3 linked regions of the Drosophila melanogaster genome follow. Changing the gene in region 1 together with any one later gene gives a genetic interaction. Each region holds a gene or a part of one and is shown in the gene's direction. Other genes may lie near its edges.

Evidence for each region.
Region 2: of Gcn2 (region 1) and slif, changing one suppresses a phenotype caused by changing the other (phenotypic suppression), as found in Drosophila melanogaster (one study listed by BioGRID).
Region 3: of Gcn2 (region 1) and GABA-B-R1, changing one suppresses a phenotype caused by changing the other (phenotypic suppression), as found in Drosophila melanogaster (one study listed by BioGRID).

The regions. Positions count from the first base shown.
Region 1 is NT_033777.3:31,392,239-31,398,284, forward strand, and holds the start of Gcn2 (Gcn2), read left to right. Parts: upstream 1-3,421; 5' UTR 3,422-3,752; coding exon 3,753-3,818; intron 3,819-3,884; coding exon 3,885-4,054; intron 4,055-4,163; coding exon 4,164-4,675; intron 4,676-4,747; coding exon 4,748-5,375; intron 5,376-5,428; coding exon 5,429-6,001; intron 6,002-6,046. Other genes in the region: CG31204 (uncharacterized protein), read right to left, coding at 1-1,214; Ugt35D1 (UDP-glycosyltransferase family 35 member D1), read right to left, coding at 1,391-2,724, 2,785-3,016.
Region 2 is NT_037436.4:22,877,598-22,883,643, forward strand, and holds the start of slif (slimfast), read left to right. Parts: upstream 1-3,447; 5' UTR 3,448-3,801; intron 3,802-6,046. Other genes in the region: Chro (chromator), read right to left, coding at 1-278, 340-397; Ssl1 (suppressor of stem-loop mutation), read left to right, coding at 1,769-1,833, 1,887-2,228, 2,281-3,190.
Region 3 is NT_033779.5:15,013,280-15,019,325, forward strand, and holds the start of GABA-B-R1 (metabotropic GABA-B receptor subtype 1), read left to right. Parts: upstream 1-3,051; 5' UTR 3,052-4,117; intron 4,118-6,046.

The DNA.
Region 1 (6,046 bases):
CCACCACTTTCGTCGTTCTCCTCGCTCGGATCTTGATTCATTGATCTGATTTCGCTTCGCAGATCTAAGCTTTTCCGCTTGTACAGATCCACAAAGTGCTGCTCCATGGCCAGTTTCAGCTCTGCGAACTTGGAGTCTATGCGCCCGTACCAACAGGCCAGACCATTGTAGTCCTCATCTGAGAACTTGGCCGTACGACGCAAATGGGCCAAGGAAATATCGGGCACAGATCTCAGGAAGCTGTGGGCTCCGGATGACCTGCTTATTTTACTTAAGTTAGTAGAACTTTGGAAAGCGGGCTTGGACTTGGACATCATTTTTCGAGCTTTATCGAGACATCCGAATGCCACATCGGCCATCCTTAGGATCTTGCGCCTGGAATCCTTCAAGTCAGGACCTATGGGCAGCTCAAACAAAACCACTACAGGAGTAGGACTCTTGAAGTCAAAGGACTCCCTCAAGCAATCGTTCATCAGGGTGCTACCATTTTGCCTGCCTCGGGGCAAGCTCGTAAAGAACTCCACCAAATCTGGTCTGTTCTCGCTGCCGAAGATGTGAAACACCGAAAGATGAATCCGGTGCTCCAAGACCAGGCTATCCCGGTACACAATCTCGAAGTGCAAATAGTCATCACCGATCCCACGGCCTCTTAACAGGGCTAGATCATTAGTTAGCCACTGGTGCAGTTCCTTGGTGCTGGAGACACTTTTTCCGCTAGGCGAATCCCTTCGCCGCTTGGGAACGCCCTTGGGTTGCACCAGCATGTTGACCATGTCGAACTTCCGGACATCGAAGTAGTCCACATTAATTGCTTTTAGGCGGCAGCGCATCTCGACCATCAGTGAGTCGACTTCAGTGACCAAGAGACGTGTCAAGAGGCTGGGATTATGGTTTCTTTGGGATGAGATCCGCAGAAGACTTCCATTGCGACGGTGACGAAACATCTGACCTAGCATATCGCCCAACTCTGTCCTAATATGGCTATCAAATTCATAACCAATACCGTCGAACTCCAAGTGGCGGTAGTAACGAGGAGGCTCCATCGAGTTAGCAGGCTTAGTTGTGTTCTTCGGCATCCTCAACAGCATTGACTTGTGGTCCAAGATCCTGATGTCACTCTCCAGACTTTGATCATCCAAGTAAGCACGTCTCCTGGAATCTGTAAGAGCGACCAACACTACGTGATCCTTTTTGTTCGCCGGAGGTCTGTTCATGGTGAAGATTTTTTTTCTTTTTTTTTAGAATTTTAGAAAATTTTGAAAGCTGTAATTTCGACAGTCTAAAAGTAGAGTTTGAGATTAAAGACAAATAACTCATTTCATGATTGAAATCCAGTAAGTAAAACAACATTAAACTTGAAAAGTTTATTGGATTAACATTAAAAAAAACTTTACTGAATCTTCTTTATTGCCTCACATTTACCCCTTTTTATTAAAAAGAGGCATTTCCTTAAGGTCATAACCAACAGATATGTAACAATTCCCAGGATAACTAAAGCGCCAACCAAAAAAGTGCCGAAGACATCTAGACTGTGGTATCTTACAAAACCCAAGTCCTTGCCGGCGACTTGCATGTGAGCAGCTCCCTTGTGAGACAGGACATACTCGGTCCACCAGATCGCCGTTTCCATGGGCTTCATTGGTTGATCCCGATATCTGGCAGCCGTGATCCTTGCCGTTTCTTCGAAACTCTTGTTCGTTAGCAGCCGTATAATTGTAGACCTAAATTCCTCACTGGTCATTTGCTTTATGTTGAGGACCAAACCAAGACCCACTTGCCGGACATGATCCATATTTCGAAACTGATCGAATAGGCAGGGCAACCCCAACATGGGCTTTCCATGGTGAATACTCTCTATAGTGCTCAGTAGCCCGCCGTGGGTTATAAAGAGTTTTACATTGGGATGGGCCAGGATGGCCTGCTGCGGGAACCACTTACTAATGAAAACATTGGGGGGTTTTCCTGGCAGCAGTTCATCTTCGAACTTCCAAACGATTCGCTGTGGCAAGCTGGCGAAAGTCTCGAGCAATACCTTTCGACGATCCTCGGATAGCGATTTGCTTTTGACATTGGTTCCCAGTGAGAAATAGATTACCCCCGATTCACCAGCACCTTGGATAAAGTGGTCCAGTTCGGCGGACAGAGCCTCTGTGCTGTGATCGACATGCAGACCACCCACCTGGATCATATTCGGAACATAAGGACGAGGAGGACCCAGTGTGAAGTGCTGATTGACCAGGACCAAATCAAAGTTCCGGGATATCTCTGACAAGGGTTTCCGCTCAGCGACGCTGGGGAAAAATTGACTATAGAGAGTCTCCTGTTTTCTCACATGTCGCCATTTATAGTTCATATAAGAAAAAGTTCGCTCCATCAGGTGCAACAACCGCTCTCCATAGGCCTCCAGATCGTAGAATCGAGAAGAGGGAGACTGCAGGTAAGAAATCGGTGAGACGTTGCCCATCAGTTCGTCAATCTTCCAGTCGGTGCCATAGGAAGCCATTCCGATGATCGGGGCATCAAAATAGGCAGCCAGGCCACTGAGCACGTCCATTCGCCAGAGATCCATTATCACAAGATCGAAATGGGGCTTCTGTGGGCCTAGAATATCGCGCCTTACGCCCTCGTTATTCAGCACTGTCTTCGTAAGATTAAGGACATATTCGTTGATGAAATCACTACTTTGCCAGGTGCTCCTGGGAGTAGATGCAATCCTAAGGACCTCTGGAAAATATCGTAAGTATTTCTATTTGACAAATCAGATCTTTATTTATCTCATCTCACCATTAAAGTTTTCGAAAACCTCGGGAACTGGAATATCGTGTATATTCCTAAACGGCTCCCTTTGTGGATACGGACTTACACTGGTTATTTCGTGGCCCAGGGAGGCCAAACTCTTAAGGTAGGGTAAGGCGAAAAAGTAATGCGAAGAACTTGGCAAAGGGAACACTGCCAGGATGCGAGCACCTTCCGAGTAACCAGGAAGAAGACATACGAGCAGAAAGATTGGCGGCATTGTTGCACTTGGCAAGTTCTGCCTTCTAGACGAAATGGAAGACTGAATGCTGCAGATCGCCAATGAAAACTCTATTTCCATTTCAGATAACCTTAATCCGCTGCGCTTTGAGTACAATTGTCAAATTTTCAATTAGATAAGCAAAACCAACAAGGAATGTCAACAGTGAAGAGTGCTGTTAAATCGCTTATCGCGGAATCCCAGTGGGAGGAGTTTTCTTCTCTTTTCAATTAGTTATCATGGGAATAGGCCTCTTTGTGGGCAAGGCCTACGTTTGAAAACAAACACTTATCTATATTTTATTGAAAACCGACCATTGTCATTCTTCGGTTCAAAAGACAACGAAGTCGAACGTTGGCGCCAAGTATCGATAGTGCCAACATTGGACTTTCAGGCTTGTTATCGACACTTGTGCACCACTAGCCTTCAGTACAAAATACGCAAAAAATTTTCTTTTTCCGGAAAATTAAGTGGAAAGCGCAACAGGTTGTTCTCTTTACGCAACAAAAACGGCAGGAGTTCGCGTAGTAACTCATTTCACATCGAATTCAAGTCGAATACAGCAGCAAAGTAATGCAGCACGCAGCTGATTTGGAAACAGCTGCCAGCGCAGTTTGTGAAATTGCACACCGGCTAAAATAACCCGGTGGGAAATCCGAAGGAACTTCCGATCCAGTATTCCAAAGCACCCAGATGTAGCCAAGACTTATCCACTAACCGGAGATTTAATGCAGAAATGGCGGATGAAAAGGCCAAGGAATCCTTCCGCGAGCGGCAAGCGCAGGAGTTGGAGGTTATAAAGGTGAGCAGAGCAGGTGTTTCATCCAAGAAGCTGATACTAAAGGCTTATCTCCTTATCTTGGAACAGTCCATCTTTGGCTGTGATGTGGAGGACCTAAGACCCCAGGCGAATCCTTCCCTGTGGAAGCCAACGGACATACGGATACAACTTACCCCACTTCGAGACTCCTCGAACGGACTGGAAACCTATGTGTGCACCAAGCTGCACGTCACCTGTCCATCAAAGTATCCAAAATTGTAAGAGCCCAGTTCCACTTATTCTTAAAAAACTGAATTTTAAACTATAGAACTAACCACTAGAATGTGGAATGCATTACTCAAAATAAGTAAACCAAACTTTCCGCAGGCCCCCTAAGATATCTCTGGAGGAGTCCAAAGGCATGTCGGATCAGCTGCTGGAGGCCCTACGCAACCAATTGCAGGCTCAATCCCAAGAGCTACGTGGCGAAGTGATGATTTATGAATTGGCCCAGACCGTTCAGGCCTTTCTCCTCGAACACAACAAACCACCAAAGGGATCATTCTACGACCAGATGCTCCAGGATAAACAGAAGCGCGACCAGGAGCTACAGGACATACAGCGGCAGCGGGAGTCCCTGCAACGCCAGACGCTCATCGACGAGGTGGAGCGGCGCAAAGAGATGTTCAAAACGGAGGCTAAGAGGCGCGGCGAACCAAGGCGCAGCATGAGCGAGTCTAACCCACGGCATCCTAGCTCGTCGGAGAGCTCCGAGAACTCCTCGCCCTACTATCGTGGTCACATCTACCCCTCCAAATGCCTGGATCACCGCAACACGGAGACGCTCTACTTCCACAAGATGGGCAGGCAGATTCAGCGTGGATGCTGCGTTGGTGAGGGTTCGCTTTCCTAAAGAGAATTCCTGTTTTGAATGCGTCTGAACTAAGTAATTTATTGTGCGTAATTCCTAGGTCACTCCCAACGAGGTTGCATCGCCTACACTGGCATAGATATGCACTGCGGCCAGTTGCTCTACATAACAGAATGGAACATCAAGTACAGCCAACTGGAGCAGCCATGCATCGGCGGAGGCAAGTGCCACTGGAGCAGCGAGTCAAAGTGCATGGGCAGTCATCGTGTGGACGAAGTGATGGCCTCCATTGAAAAGCAGGTGTCCTCACTGTCCCAACTACAGCACAAAAACCTCGTCTCGTACGAGTGCGTACTGTGCATCAAGCGAAAGGAAGGTCTACTTGTGTATTTGGTCCAAGACTTCCTCCTTGGCACCAGCGTGTTCAGCATCTCCTCCTCGCTTGGCTGGTGCATGGACGGCGCACGAATGGTTGCGCGCGGCGTGCTGGACGCCTTAGTATTTCTTCACAACAAGGGTGTATCCCATAGTCACCTGCTCGACACCACTGTTTTTATGGACAACACAGGCAATGTGAGGGTATCAGACTTTTCGCTCGTTCCCAATCTTCTAGAACTTCTGAGCGGAGCTGGACAAAGCAGCAGTTGCGGGGACTTACCCGCGTTAGGTGCCCTGGTGGAGAGTTTGATGCCCACTAACAGTTACGAGATGCGCGACTTTGTAGACAAGTAATTAATTGTAATGAAAACTTAATCCTTTTTTAATTTAATGTTTTCTTTAGGTGTAACTCGGACCGAACTCTTTCCGCATCAGAGTTATTGGAGCATCCATTCTTACGCTTTTACGTCGACAATGGCCAGCAGCAGGTGATGCCATTACCACAGCAGCAACATCCTAACACCGTCCAGCGCACTGGATCCGCCATGCCGTACCAGATACCGACACTGGCCCTAAGCCAATCCCGCCTGCGAACGGAATTCGAGGTGCTCATGTACTTGGGAAAGGGTGCCTTTGGTGACGTGCTAAAGGTGCGCAACATTTTAGACAACCGAGAGTACGCCATCAAGCGCATACCATTGCCCGCGAGGAGTCGCCAGCTGTACAAAAAGATGACGCGCGAGGTGGAGCTTCTTTCGCGGCTGAATCATGAGAATGTAGTTCGATACTTTAACAGTTGGATAGAAAGTGTAGATGACGCAGATGCCGCTGAGATGGATAAGCTGCTGGGCGGTGAGTGGTCCCAGAGTCAGCAGGACCTTAGCGTAAAACCTGCCAAGTCACCACAGCTGGGGCCCACTTTAGAGGAGGACGAGGATGAAGAGGACAGCTCATCCAGCATGTGGAACGGTTACATGTAAAAATTAGCTTCTATGCTTCCTCTAATTTGAATTAACGCTAA
Region 2 (6,046 bases), on another chromosome or scaffold:
CACAATCCACGGCTCGCGGACGCTATCGTCTAGTTTTACCCAATGCTGGTACAAGGCCCACGAGCTGCCGGACGCGTCCTTGCGCGAGTGCAGCTGAGTAGCTTTCCATAGCGTAAAAGCCCAGATGGTGGGCTTGGGATCGAGCGATTCCTTCAAATTTGCATTTTCCTTTTCGCAGGCGTCCTCTTTGTGGGCCTGAAACTCTTCCACGAAGTTGTAGGCCCGGAGACATCGTCCACATACAAGAACGTCCATGTTTGCCAATTCCTCCTGTGCAGCTGCAGGGCAGAACACAAAATTAACAATAAAAATTATTTACCAATGTTTTTAGTCACTCACCTCTTATAATGTTTGCGTGTTTGCCGATTTCCGTAGGTGAAATCTCCTGTGCCAACATTATTCACGACTCCAGCGCCCAAGCCTTTGAAGAGAGCATTTAAAGTGTGACTTAAAAATAGTGCTGAATGGAGTCTTATTATTTGTTATTGCTTGGTTTTGAAATATTGGTAAACGGCGAAGAAAAAGTACAGTGCCGTGGTGTGTTTGTGCTAACTTGAACCAGGTGGCAACGCGAACGGTCGCTGTCTGCGGTGTGTGTCCGATATGGTGAGTTCAAGCATATGTACATCTGCAATGGGCAAAATGCAGCGGCGCTTAGGCAGCCGAAAAAAAACACTAAGTACATTATGAAAAGAACGAGCCTGCCGCACTGTTGTAGATATATAATATAATAAAACACAGAAAAGCACGAACTATGCGTAATGCGACTTTATTAGTTACTTAAACTTATCTGTTACAAATGCATTTGAACTTCAACACAGCTAAAAATTAAAATAAATAAAACCCTATGGTTCGATCCTATTTGTTTTCATTTAAAAAAAAGGATTACATATAGTTTAAATAATATCAAAGTTCACAATTTCATTTTGCCCGCTAAACCTTGCAGGCACTAGATATAGGCCAGGTATGATTGCAAATAAGCCTATTCCACATATCATTAAATTAAAAGATTTCTCTAGAACACTTTGGTACACACCTTCATAAACAATTTTGGATAAATATCAAACTGAATGTTGTTTCAAACGGTTATTTTAATTTAACTGACTCCCGATTTTTCAACACGAGCAGCTCCACTGCTGCTCACAGTTGTACGCGCGAACTCTGAATGCCAAAAGCGAAATTCGGCTGCACGGAAATTGTCCAGAGATGATTTGGTTCCGGCTGTGCGGACCTTAGAATGCTCTTCTGTGCTAAGCTATTTAAATCCTAATATTACTGGGAGTGTATTGCCTGTCGATAGCTTTAAACTAACTGCAGTCCAGTAAATTTTAAGATTTCGAAGGTTTTTTCGAATATAGTATATGATATAAAACGCGGGTTTCAATGCTTGCACGGTTTTAAGTGCCCAAACTTAGGGTGTAGCGCCCTTTTCAGTTCGCCCGTGTGGCGGTGCACTTAGTTAGCCAATTACGCGTCGTGGTGGGTATATTTATTGATGTGGCAACTTTGGGCGCAATAATAATAATATTGTACTTTTTTTGTTCATATTAGGTAAGAAATTCGAAATTATTTTTTATTATTTCATTTTATTATGTCATTCTTTTGTAGATATTTATTGATATAAATACTTACCCAGGGTTGCCACCCAGTGTATTGTATTTAACGTAGGCCCTGTGTGTACACACTGTTACATTAGCCGGCGCATTTTATTTAGCGTTAATTGCTTTTCTTTCTTGATTTGACTTGGTAGTGCATCAGGACTGCAAGTATGGCCGACGATGAGCAAGAGGACCAGAAGGAGTACCGCTGGGAAACGGGCTATGAAAAGACATGGTGCGATGGTGTGCGTGACAATGTAAGCCCGCACTTACTTTTAATCCTATTAGGGAGGCCATCAAGGACGACGAGGATGGGATGCTGGATGGAGCCATTGCAGAGATCATTCAGAAGGCCAAACGCCAGAGGCAGGCTCAAAAGTCCAAGCAGAACCGCCTGGGCATGATGCGCCACATGTTCGTTGTGCTCGATTGCTCTGAGTCCATGAGCGTGCCTGATTTGAAACCCACACGACTGCGGTGCACCGTCAAGCTGCTGGAGCTGTTTATCGAGGAGTTCTTCGATCAGAACCCCATCAGCCAATTAGGACTCATAGCGCTAAAAGCTAAGCGAGCGGAGAAGGTGACCGAACTTACCGGCACTTCGCGCGTGCACCTCAAAGCGCTAGAGAGGTAAGAACCGAATCAAACCAGCGTTCTCCATTTATATCCCCTTTTTGTTTAGCTTGGCTAACGTGTCCTTGACCAGCGAGCCTTCGCTGCAAAATGGCCTAGATCTGGCCCTAAAATCGCTTAAGGTGGTGCCGTCGCACGCCTCCCGAGAGATCGTCATTATCATGGGCTCGCTCACCACATGTGATCCTGTCGATATTAACCTCACCATCGACGAGTTAAAAAAGGAGGGCATACGCTGCTCGGTTATTTCCCTGTCCGCTGAGATTCACGTGGCCCGCTACCTCACTCAGCAAACAATGGGCACCTTCGGGGCTGTTTTGGATGATGCACATTTTCGGGATCAACTCATGTCTCAGGTAGATCCACCGCCCGCCGCTAAGACTCAGCACAACTCGCTTATTCGCATGGGCTTCCCGCACACAAAGAATGAAGTTGAGGGCAAGGACGCGCCATTGTCCATGTGCATGTGCCACATAGAGAACTTGGAGGAGCCCAGTGAACTGACCACTACTGGCCACCACTGCCCGCAATGCAACAGCAAGTACTGCGAGCTGCCCGTGGAGTGCCAGTCTTGCGGCCTCACCCTGGTCTCCGCGCCGCACTTGGCGCGTTCCTACCACCACCTTTTCCCGGTGCCAAATTTTGAGGAACTGCCGTTTGAGGCGATGCCTGCTTCGTCATCCGACCTCACCAGCGATGTCAGGGAATGTTACGGCTGCGCCAAAGCTCTTGGGCAAGGCGTTGACAAGGTCGCCGATAAAGTCGTCTTCAGATGCGGTTTCTGCAAGCAGTTCTTCTGCGTTGACTGCGACATCTTCATTCACGACACATTGCACGCCTGCGTGGGATGCAACACCATTCCCGGCGTAGACGGTCTGGTTTACCAGCAAAGTTCCAAGTCTGACCAGGTTGATGCACACCCAGGGCCCTCAAAGCAGCGCGGCCAGTGTGGGATGTAACTGACTTTCTATAGATAGATATTTCGAACTTCCACATAACTACGCATTTGGGGCAAACAAAATACAGTTCGTTTCGAAACGGTGGTTATGAGTTGTATCAATTAAAATCTGGTTTTATGCTTAATAATTGTGAAGGCGAGCGTAGCATTATTATGGCCGTTGTGTGAGACCCTCTCAATTGTATTGCTAATTACTTGGTCATAGGCTCTCTGTGCCGCTTCATGCGAACTTGGCGCACTTTTGTCTAGAGCTCGCTTGAGTTCATCATCAGCGTTTGCCGCATTCGGTCGGGTTTAGTTGCGATTCAATCCAAAAGCTCTCGGCACCCACAGGTGTTCTCGTTGGAACTTTAGCTTTATAGATGTTAACCCGCGTTGGTGTTGTGAATTTTGAAGAGCCAGAACTTTTGTTCAGTGGGAGACCGATGTGACGTGGATATACTGCTCTGTGACACCATAAACAATTTATGAAGATCAATGACGCTGCTTTAAACTAGTATTAAACCAGTTAGAGGCCAGCTAAACCGCCACAACTGTCTATTACCTTATAAAGTTCAACATTTAATTGAAGATTCATAAGCATTCCGAAGGTCTACCATAAAAATCAAAAATGTATGTACATATATTGTGTTATTGTTATTAATAATTGGTTGTTTTTAAAGTTTCTAAATTTTTTTAAAAAGATAACTATTAGACTTATGCTTTTTGATTTTAGAGTTACAATACAAATTCTTTATGCGGTTTCTAAAAGATGCGAGCAAATGGCATCAATAATAGATAATAAAACATAAATAAAAGCTTTTAATTTGTATATATAAATTGGTCTAAATGTAGCTTGTAAATAATAGGTTCAAATGGTATGTAACTTGCGGCAAAATGCAATAGGATAAAAAATCAACAAAGCGAGCCGTGCGGGCTTTAAGATATGTACGGCTATGTATGGCTAGATCGGTAATCAAGAATGTAAATACTTTATATACTGTTATACATTGTAACTTTATAATTCCCAGCGGAACAAGACGTACTCGTAGTAATTTTATATAACTCCATATATCTCTTGAATAGCGAACAAGCAATGGCGATGAAATAAAAGATATTTTATAAACTGTCCGAATTGGATCCACATATTATTAGCGCTTGAGTCTAACATTCGCGATCATTTATAAGCCCATATGTGTTTTAAGGTATACAATTTCTATTTCTTTGTTACTATTGGTTCTAAAGTCTGTCATAGAATTCGTTAACTAAGAACTTGACCTTCAGAGACCATCTGGGCAACAGCAGTCAGAATAATATCCGTCAATTAAAGTTGTTTTAGACGCAAATAGCACGACTAGTCTCTCTCGTTAATTACTGACTAGCCCAGCGACTAACCCATGCCAGCTTTCATTAATTTACCCGTATGCATTTGAGCAATATAAAGACGCTTCCGCATCGCACCCCGCACAAAAGCGCGAAATCACAATCACAAATCTGGTGATAATTATATGTGAAAGTGGAATGAATCAGATAATAAATGTCGCTCTTAATTGTATTTTCATTTGTGTGTACATATATATGTACATATGTACATATAGTACATATGTATGTAGTTGAAGGAGTAAAGAGTTCGCGTCCTGGTCCAGTCCAGCCAATGCAGGCAAAATTGCTTCGCTAATTTATTCAACGCTGCCCGAGAATGACTAACTGAAATTTGAGGGACTAGGTCGCCTTTGATACGAAAAAGTTCTGTGCGGCTAATCACTTTCTAATCAGTAAGTTATTTCTCGTGCAGGCAACGCAACTCATTGATTGGTAGAGTTATTTGCATTGTTCAGAAGTCGGTTGAAATTGCTTTGAATGGCTTGTAATTTGCCATCGCTGTTTAAAATTTGATGTTTCCGAGTCGACTTTGAGCGCAATAAAAGTGAAGTGATAAATCCAAATCAAGCCGCCCAGACGGAAGCGCAAATCGGAGGACGGGAAGCTCCACATTGGCATTGTGTTTATTTCGTTGGGAGGCACCTCCTTCGAGCTTCTGGGGTCGAGCCCATATCGTGCTGGTTTAAATTTAATTGTTGCTAAATGAATGACACGAGTGTCGAAAATGAAGGGGAGCGTTTATTATCAGATTTAAATAACTATATCGCTTCATAATTAAATTAGAGCGCAGTCGGTGGGAGAATTTTTATTTGCTTGCGGATGCATTAACTTTACAAACAAATAGAAATTATCCATTCTATTTGTTTTTCAGCTGCTTTGAAAATAAACCTCAACAAGAACTCCTCCTTCAGCAACATCAACTACATCAACAAATGACTTCCGGGCAATTAAAATGAAAATGATAATCCTATTTCCCCACCCCCTTTCGCCACCCAAACCCACATGGATATTAATTAATTGTATAAAAACAAGGATTTAACAAAAACCCACCGATTAATGTCGGTAAACTCGGTTTTTTTCACCCACACACCTCCGAACGCAATTATGCAATAAATGCCTCAAAATGTTTGCACAACTTTTAATTATAAATGTTGAATTGCTAATTTGAAATATGGCGAATGCAAATCGCTGGGCGTTGGACGGCGTGAAAGACTAGCCTCGCCACGCCCCTCGAGGGGCTTGCATGCCCTTGCAGAGGGTATACTGACTTCTGTTAAAAGTCAGTAGAGCAGCGATATAAATATATACATACATATATATTATTGATCAGTATCAACAGTCGAGTCGATATGCCCATCTTCGTCTGTAAGTCAATCAGTCCCTGGTTTTGGAAGCTACATGAAACATCTTCTTTTTTTCTATAAATCGGAAATGGAACTGGTCCGGGACTACTATATCACATAGCTGGTAAAGGATCTAACAAAAAATAAATTTA
Region 3 (6,046 bases), on another chromosome or scaffold:
AAAATACTTTAGACACCTTTGGGGTTGTTTTGTTTGCTTAATATTAATAAATATTATTTATATCAATACAATGACATAATACCAACAACATATATTTTTACCATCCGACGATGAAAACTAAAATCTACCAGCTGATCAAGGGTTAAGGACTGTGCCACAACTGCTGTCCAGGCCGAACTGAGTAATGTGCATATGTACGTGACTGCAATTTGTTTGTGTGGAAGGTAGTGTGTCGGTGTGTTGGTGCTGCTGGGCACTGACAAAGCGCAGGTAGGAAATGTAAGGACCATGGTACGTATACGCAGTGTGTGCAAACAGAAAACATGCCGCAATGTTTGTTTTGTAAGCCTGTCGAGGCAAGCGAGCGAATAAGTGTCTTTGCGTCTCTCTCTCTCTCTCTCTCTCTCTCTCTGTGTGTCTTTCCCCCTCGCGCTCTTACTCTCTTGGTCCTATTTGTGCAGATCATAAAATGCATGAGTGTGTGTGTGTGTGTGCGTGCCTTTTGACGGTATGTGCGTGTGTGTGTGCGCCTGTGTTTATTCAACCGCATGAAACAATGTGAAAAACGCATGCCAGGCGTGCGACTGTGTTGGTGGCTCTGTGTGAATGGCTGCGAGCATGTCTGTGTGCGCCTTCTGCTATGCTAAACTTTTTACAAGGATTGCCCCCGAAGCTGGTTGGCTTGGTTAACGCAACAATTTAACACAAAACCAAAAAGAAGGTAGAGCGAAACAAGAGAAGAAAAGTTGAGCGCACCGTGGGGAGAGGGGGGTGCGGTGGAAATAATAATAAGGGATGTATAAAAAATGAAACGTTCCACACATATTTGTGCATACCACACATACATACATATACATATGTGCCCAAGGACTTAGCGGCGCCCATTGAAAGGATGTGAAGATGATGAGCTGCAGCTCATCGCTCGGTAATCTTTTGTGGTTCTTTCCTGGCCAAAGAGAAACTTGAACCCTGCTCCTGCTCAATGCCTGAGTGTTGCCACATTCGTTGTGGTAGTTACTCTTGGCTCGGTCGGATGCATTTGTGCAACCACGACAGTGGGGCATCTACATTGCCAACTTGGGGCCGAATGTTGGCTCAGTAATTACATTTAATTCTATGGCTTGGCAAGGGTTTTGCTTGCGAATTCTATGCAGACTCATTGAATTCAAATGTCATGCCAATATGAAAGGGTTGTCAAGCAGTTACTTCCGTAATCTTATGCTTATTTAAATATACTATTCTTTAAAAAACTTATAATTTCATTTTAACAGAATATATTTATATATTTACAATAAAACATTATGCATTTTTTCTCTTTTCATGGAAATCCATAACAAGCCACAATCTTTTCAATTAACATTATCACACTATTTCATGTTGATTGCTGATTGCAGCTGTGCCTGCAAATGTTTTAAATCGCCCATTCAATAATAACTTTCATTTTATTGAATAGTTTTAGGAGATTACCATAACATAAAATAAACGTTCTATTCAAAGCAAATTCGCTAAATATTTCACTGAAAACATTTATAATTTTATGTAATTAAAACGTGAATTTAGAGTGAACTAGAAATCAAAATCAGAGTTCAAAATAATAGCTGGCCTATGCCAAAATAACATTGGAATACAGAAAATTCATAAATAAATCATCAATTTATCAATGCATAACAATTGCGCAATGTTAATTTTCAAACTGCTGTTTACCAATTTGCTCTTGAGTGGATTTGGTTTAATTAGTGCCGTTTCTGCTCTAACTGTCTATGAAATCAATTCAAATATCTAAACAATAAGTGCGTTCTGTAACCTATACGGCAGTGCAAATATAGGCCATAACCCATGCCCTCGTATTCACACATCTGAAAGTTATTTAATCCGCTCAGCAATTTCGATTGCCATTTATTCACTGGCAGAGTTCAAGACAAGTGCATTTCAGCATACCCGAATTCCACATGCGGACATAAATATTTGAGTAATTGATTTCCCAAGTCGACGATGGGAAAACTTCCAATTTCTTGGCTTGACTACTTTTGGGCCAATGCAAATGGTTTATTTTTGACCGCAGAATCCTTCGACTTGAGCGGACAGTTGAGGTTCTCGAACTAATTGCAAAATTGTCAATGATTTATTCAGTTGGCAATTAAGGTGCCAACTAACGGTGTGGCTGGCACGGCTATATCGATTTGAAAATATTCAATAATCCCGGAGCCTTGATAAGCTCATCAAACATGCACATGGCCATCAGCAGGGGGGGGCAAGTTTGTATTTAGAGCCAAGTGTGTTTGGTGAAGGGGGGTTAGCTGTATATTTCAGGGTTTCCCCTTTTTTTGTCGAGCGGTTTGGGGGGGGGTTTTGCGAGGGGACACAAAAGTACAAGTTGCTATGGATCAAGCTCAAGGCGTGGCAGTTGGGCATTAGCTCTATGGTGGAGCACGGCAACCAAGCGAACAAAGGTCAACTCGACAAGTGAGTTAAATGACAAGGACCTCACCTTGCCTTCCTTGGGCTTCGGCTTTGGCTTTGGCCCGTGCGTGTTTGCATGTTTGGCTCGATGAGGCGACGCGACCCCAAAAATGAAACTCAACTTTGGCTTTGACTGCGGCTCGGGATTGTGGCGTGCAAGCATTATGGCCTTTCGCTTTCAAAACAATGCCCCCATCCTGTTTCCCGGTTGGCCTAGTGGCACTTGCTCCTTGTTGTTGGTTTTTCGCATTGCCCTTGGCCAATTGCGAGTGAATTTTGATGTTTTGACTGGCCATTCCTGGGGCCATTTGACAACTCTATAAAACCGGTGTCCTTAAGCCCGCCCTCGTCCTTGCGCCCAACCCCCAATTACCGTCCAACTACCACCCACCTACACCCCGCTACACCCACCCACAAAGTAAACGTAATTGCCCGGAGAGTTTCGCGACTTTCGACTTGGCCAGCAAACTGAAAAAGCGAAACTTCAAAAAACCCGACTTGACTTGGCAACTGGAAAAGTGGAAAAGCGGAAGCACGAGCTTTCCCACCGAAAAGCTCTCGTGCTCTAAGCTTTCGTCCTGGCGAGGCGAAAACGTAAATGTCAGTCATGGAGTTCCAGTCGTCGGATACATGTGGAACACAACGAACACAGCAGGAGCCTCTCGCGTCTCATCCCCCGAATACAATGCGAAAAAGTCTGTACAAAAAATAGACAAATAAGGAGCAGGAGCGAAAACACCACTCTGTGCATAAGATATAACTCCCGCAGAACTGAATACCTGCAAAAAGAAATACGCGTTAAATGGAATTACGGTGCGGGAATTGATAAAGTGAAGTGTGTTACAGCTAGAAAGCAAGTGAAATAAAACGAATACATTAATAATTCATGCCCCTCATAGTCAGAAGCTTACTAGTTTGATAAGGAATTCAACGTAAATCTGATATAGTAATGTAGAAAAGTTGTACAAAGTAATATACATAGCATATAGCATATAGCACAGTTACACAGAACACACCGCAAACTCAAACAAAGTTGACAAAAAAAAAGCTCACGCCCCTCACATCTCAGTTTTTTCTCGAATTATTTGTGAAAGTGCAACAAACATATATAAAAAATAAAAAAGAAAAGGGAGGAGAGAGCACAGCAAAAAAAGGCAGTGACAGCAGGACCTGCAAAGGAATTGCCATCATTTGGGGATTACGGAATTATCGGGATCCGTTCTCATTAAAATGGATTTAAGGCAATGCCGATGTGCTGAGCTGCATTTGTGCATGGGATTATCGATTGTAATGCGCAGTCATCAAATTATGTTTGAACAACGCCGCCGCGACAGCGATAATAGCAACAATAACAACAACAACAACAACCAAATCAACAACAAACACTGATTTGGCCCCTGACCCCCTTTGGCAGCACCCCCTCCATCCAACACCCCCTACGACCCTGCCCAAGCAAAAGGAGCAGCGAAAAAGAAGAAGCGTCTTATGAAACAATTGAAGCACCGGCCAAAGGAGCAAAGGAGCAGACAAAGACAGAGACAAAAACATCGGCAAAGGATAAAACGGAGGCCGAGAAGAAGAGGAAGCAGTAGTAGCAAAGCAGGAAACAACAACAACAACAACCGCAACATCGCATTTTTAAACGGCAATACGCAAAGTAAGTGAAGTGTAAAGTGAGCGAGATGGCAATAGAAAGGTGTAGAGTGCCGCGAAGAGAGGCGGAGAGAATACACTTGCAAAAATGTGAGCAGCTAATTCCCAGGGATGTTAAAAAAAATTAAACCCTCATGGTTCAAAGATTCTAGGAGATGGACAAGTGATGAATGGTCAGTGGAAATATATGTATGTTTTAAGCCAAGTGAAATCAAAATGATTTGAGAAGTACAAATAAAAGAAAGAAAGGAAAGAATGATATATGATATTTATTGGTTGTAGTACAGGAAAATAATAGTTAAAATGATATCCCGGATTGATGGTCATTACAATGATCGTACCACAAAACTCTTTCTAACTCAAATTAAATTGTTAAAATTATTTTTCAATACAAATTTGATATATTTTTGTTTTTTCGCCGACAAGATGCATAGATCTTTCATAGAATCTGAAATCTATATCTTTTTTATATTGCTTTTGAGAAGAGTAAACCGATCATCATCTACGATCACTCCTTTTTGTTCTGTGTAGGTATGAAGAGAGCAGGTGGGAAGGCAGTGAAGTGAAGTGAAGCATTTGTCGCATTTGTGCAGAATTCCCGACGTAATTAATGTTTAAAGTCTGTGTGTGTGTATGTGTGCGAAGGTTTGTAAACTAGGTCACTAGGAAGTTAGCCCCTTGACGACCATCCCCTCTCATCAGCGCCTCTTCAGCGGCAACTCTACGTCAAAGGTGTCAACTCGCCAAATCTGCAACCACACCTTAGTTAAGTGAGCCACCCCGTAGCCACCAAAATTATCCACAGCACCACCACCTTTTATTCGTCCTTAACACACCGCCATGATTAACGCGCCTCAGTGCGATTAACTGGCAAACAAATTTGGAGTGACGCTGCGGCGATGTACATACATACATATATGTATGCATGTTTGTGCTAAACCGACAGCATTTCCATTCAATAACACACGCGGCTCGTATGCAAACACTGTAAAAAGGTTTTATGCTAAAAAAGACGCCGTATTTGTGCATGAAAAACTGTCATTCATCATCCAACCAACACAAATAACCGGTAATGGCATCGCCACATTATGGCTTTGTATTTTTTACATCCTCAAACACAAAAAAACTTTAGTTGATTTCTGACTTGCATCGCATTCATCACCCACTAAAGTCGAGCAATCAATCCTCAAAATACGTATACGCACTGTTAGTTCAGTTGATTAATAGGCTAATTATGAAGGAAACTGAAAGGAAACACTAAATCAATAAATCCTGGCAAATTAGCATCAGTATATATTTGTGTTAGTGCAAACATTTAAGTTTTCTATCAATTTTAAATACAAATATGTTCAGAATTAAGATATATTTCAAAGGGAACTATGCTTTGTTTAATTAAGATTTAAGGTTTTATAACTATAAAAGCCTTCAAAATGTGCCATCTATTTTATATTCACTTACAAGCAGATTTCAATCAAGACCACTCTTTAATATGATATATTATGTCTAGAACAACCGAGAAGGCACTCTTAAATTAAATATTTTAGTACCGTAATAAATTATGAAACGTGCTGACGGTAAAATATATAATACAATTCATACTTTAAGTTATATTTTTTTTTTGCCCTATATGGTTTTACGTATCGGTGTGTATGTGAGTACCTCGCACACGCAGGACATAGAGATAAAAAGGCTTCTCCCACATAAAAGTTCTATTCTGTTTTTTTTTTTTTATAGAAAAATATTGCTGGCAGGAGTTTAGAACATTGCCAAAGGGGATGCGGACAGATGAAGGGGCGGGGGCGTGGCGGGTAAAAGCCATAAAACTCAGGCGCCGAAGCGCAAAATGCCCTTGCCCTGAACAAAAAGAAGAAATTGAACAGCAACAACCAACAACAAAAACAAAGAAGAACAAGAGCAAATAAAATACAAACTG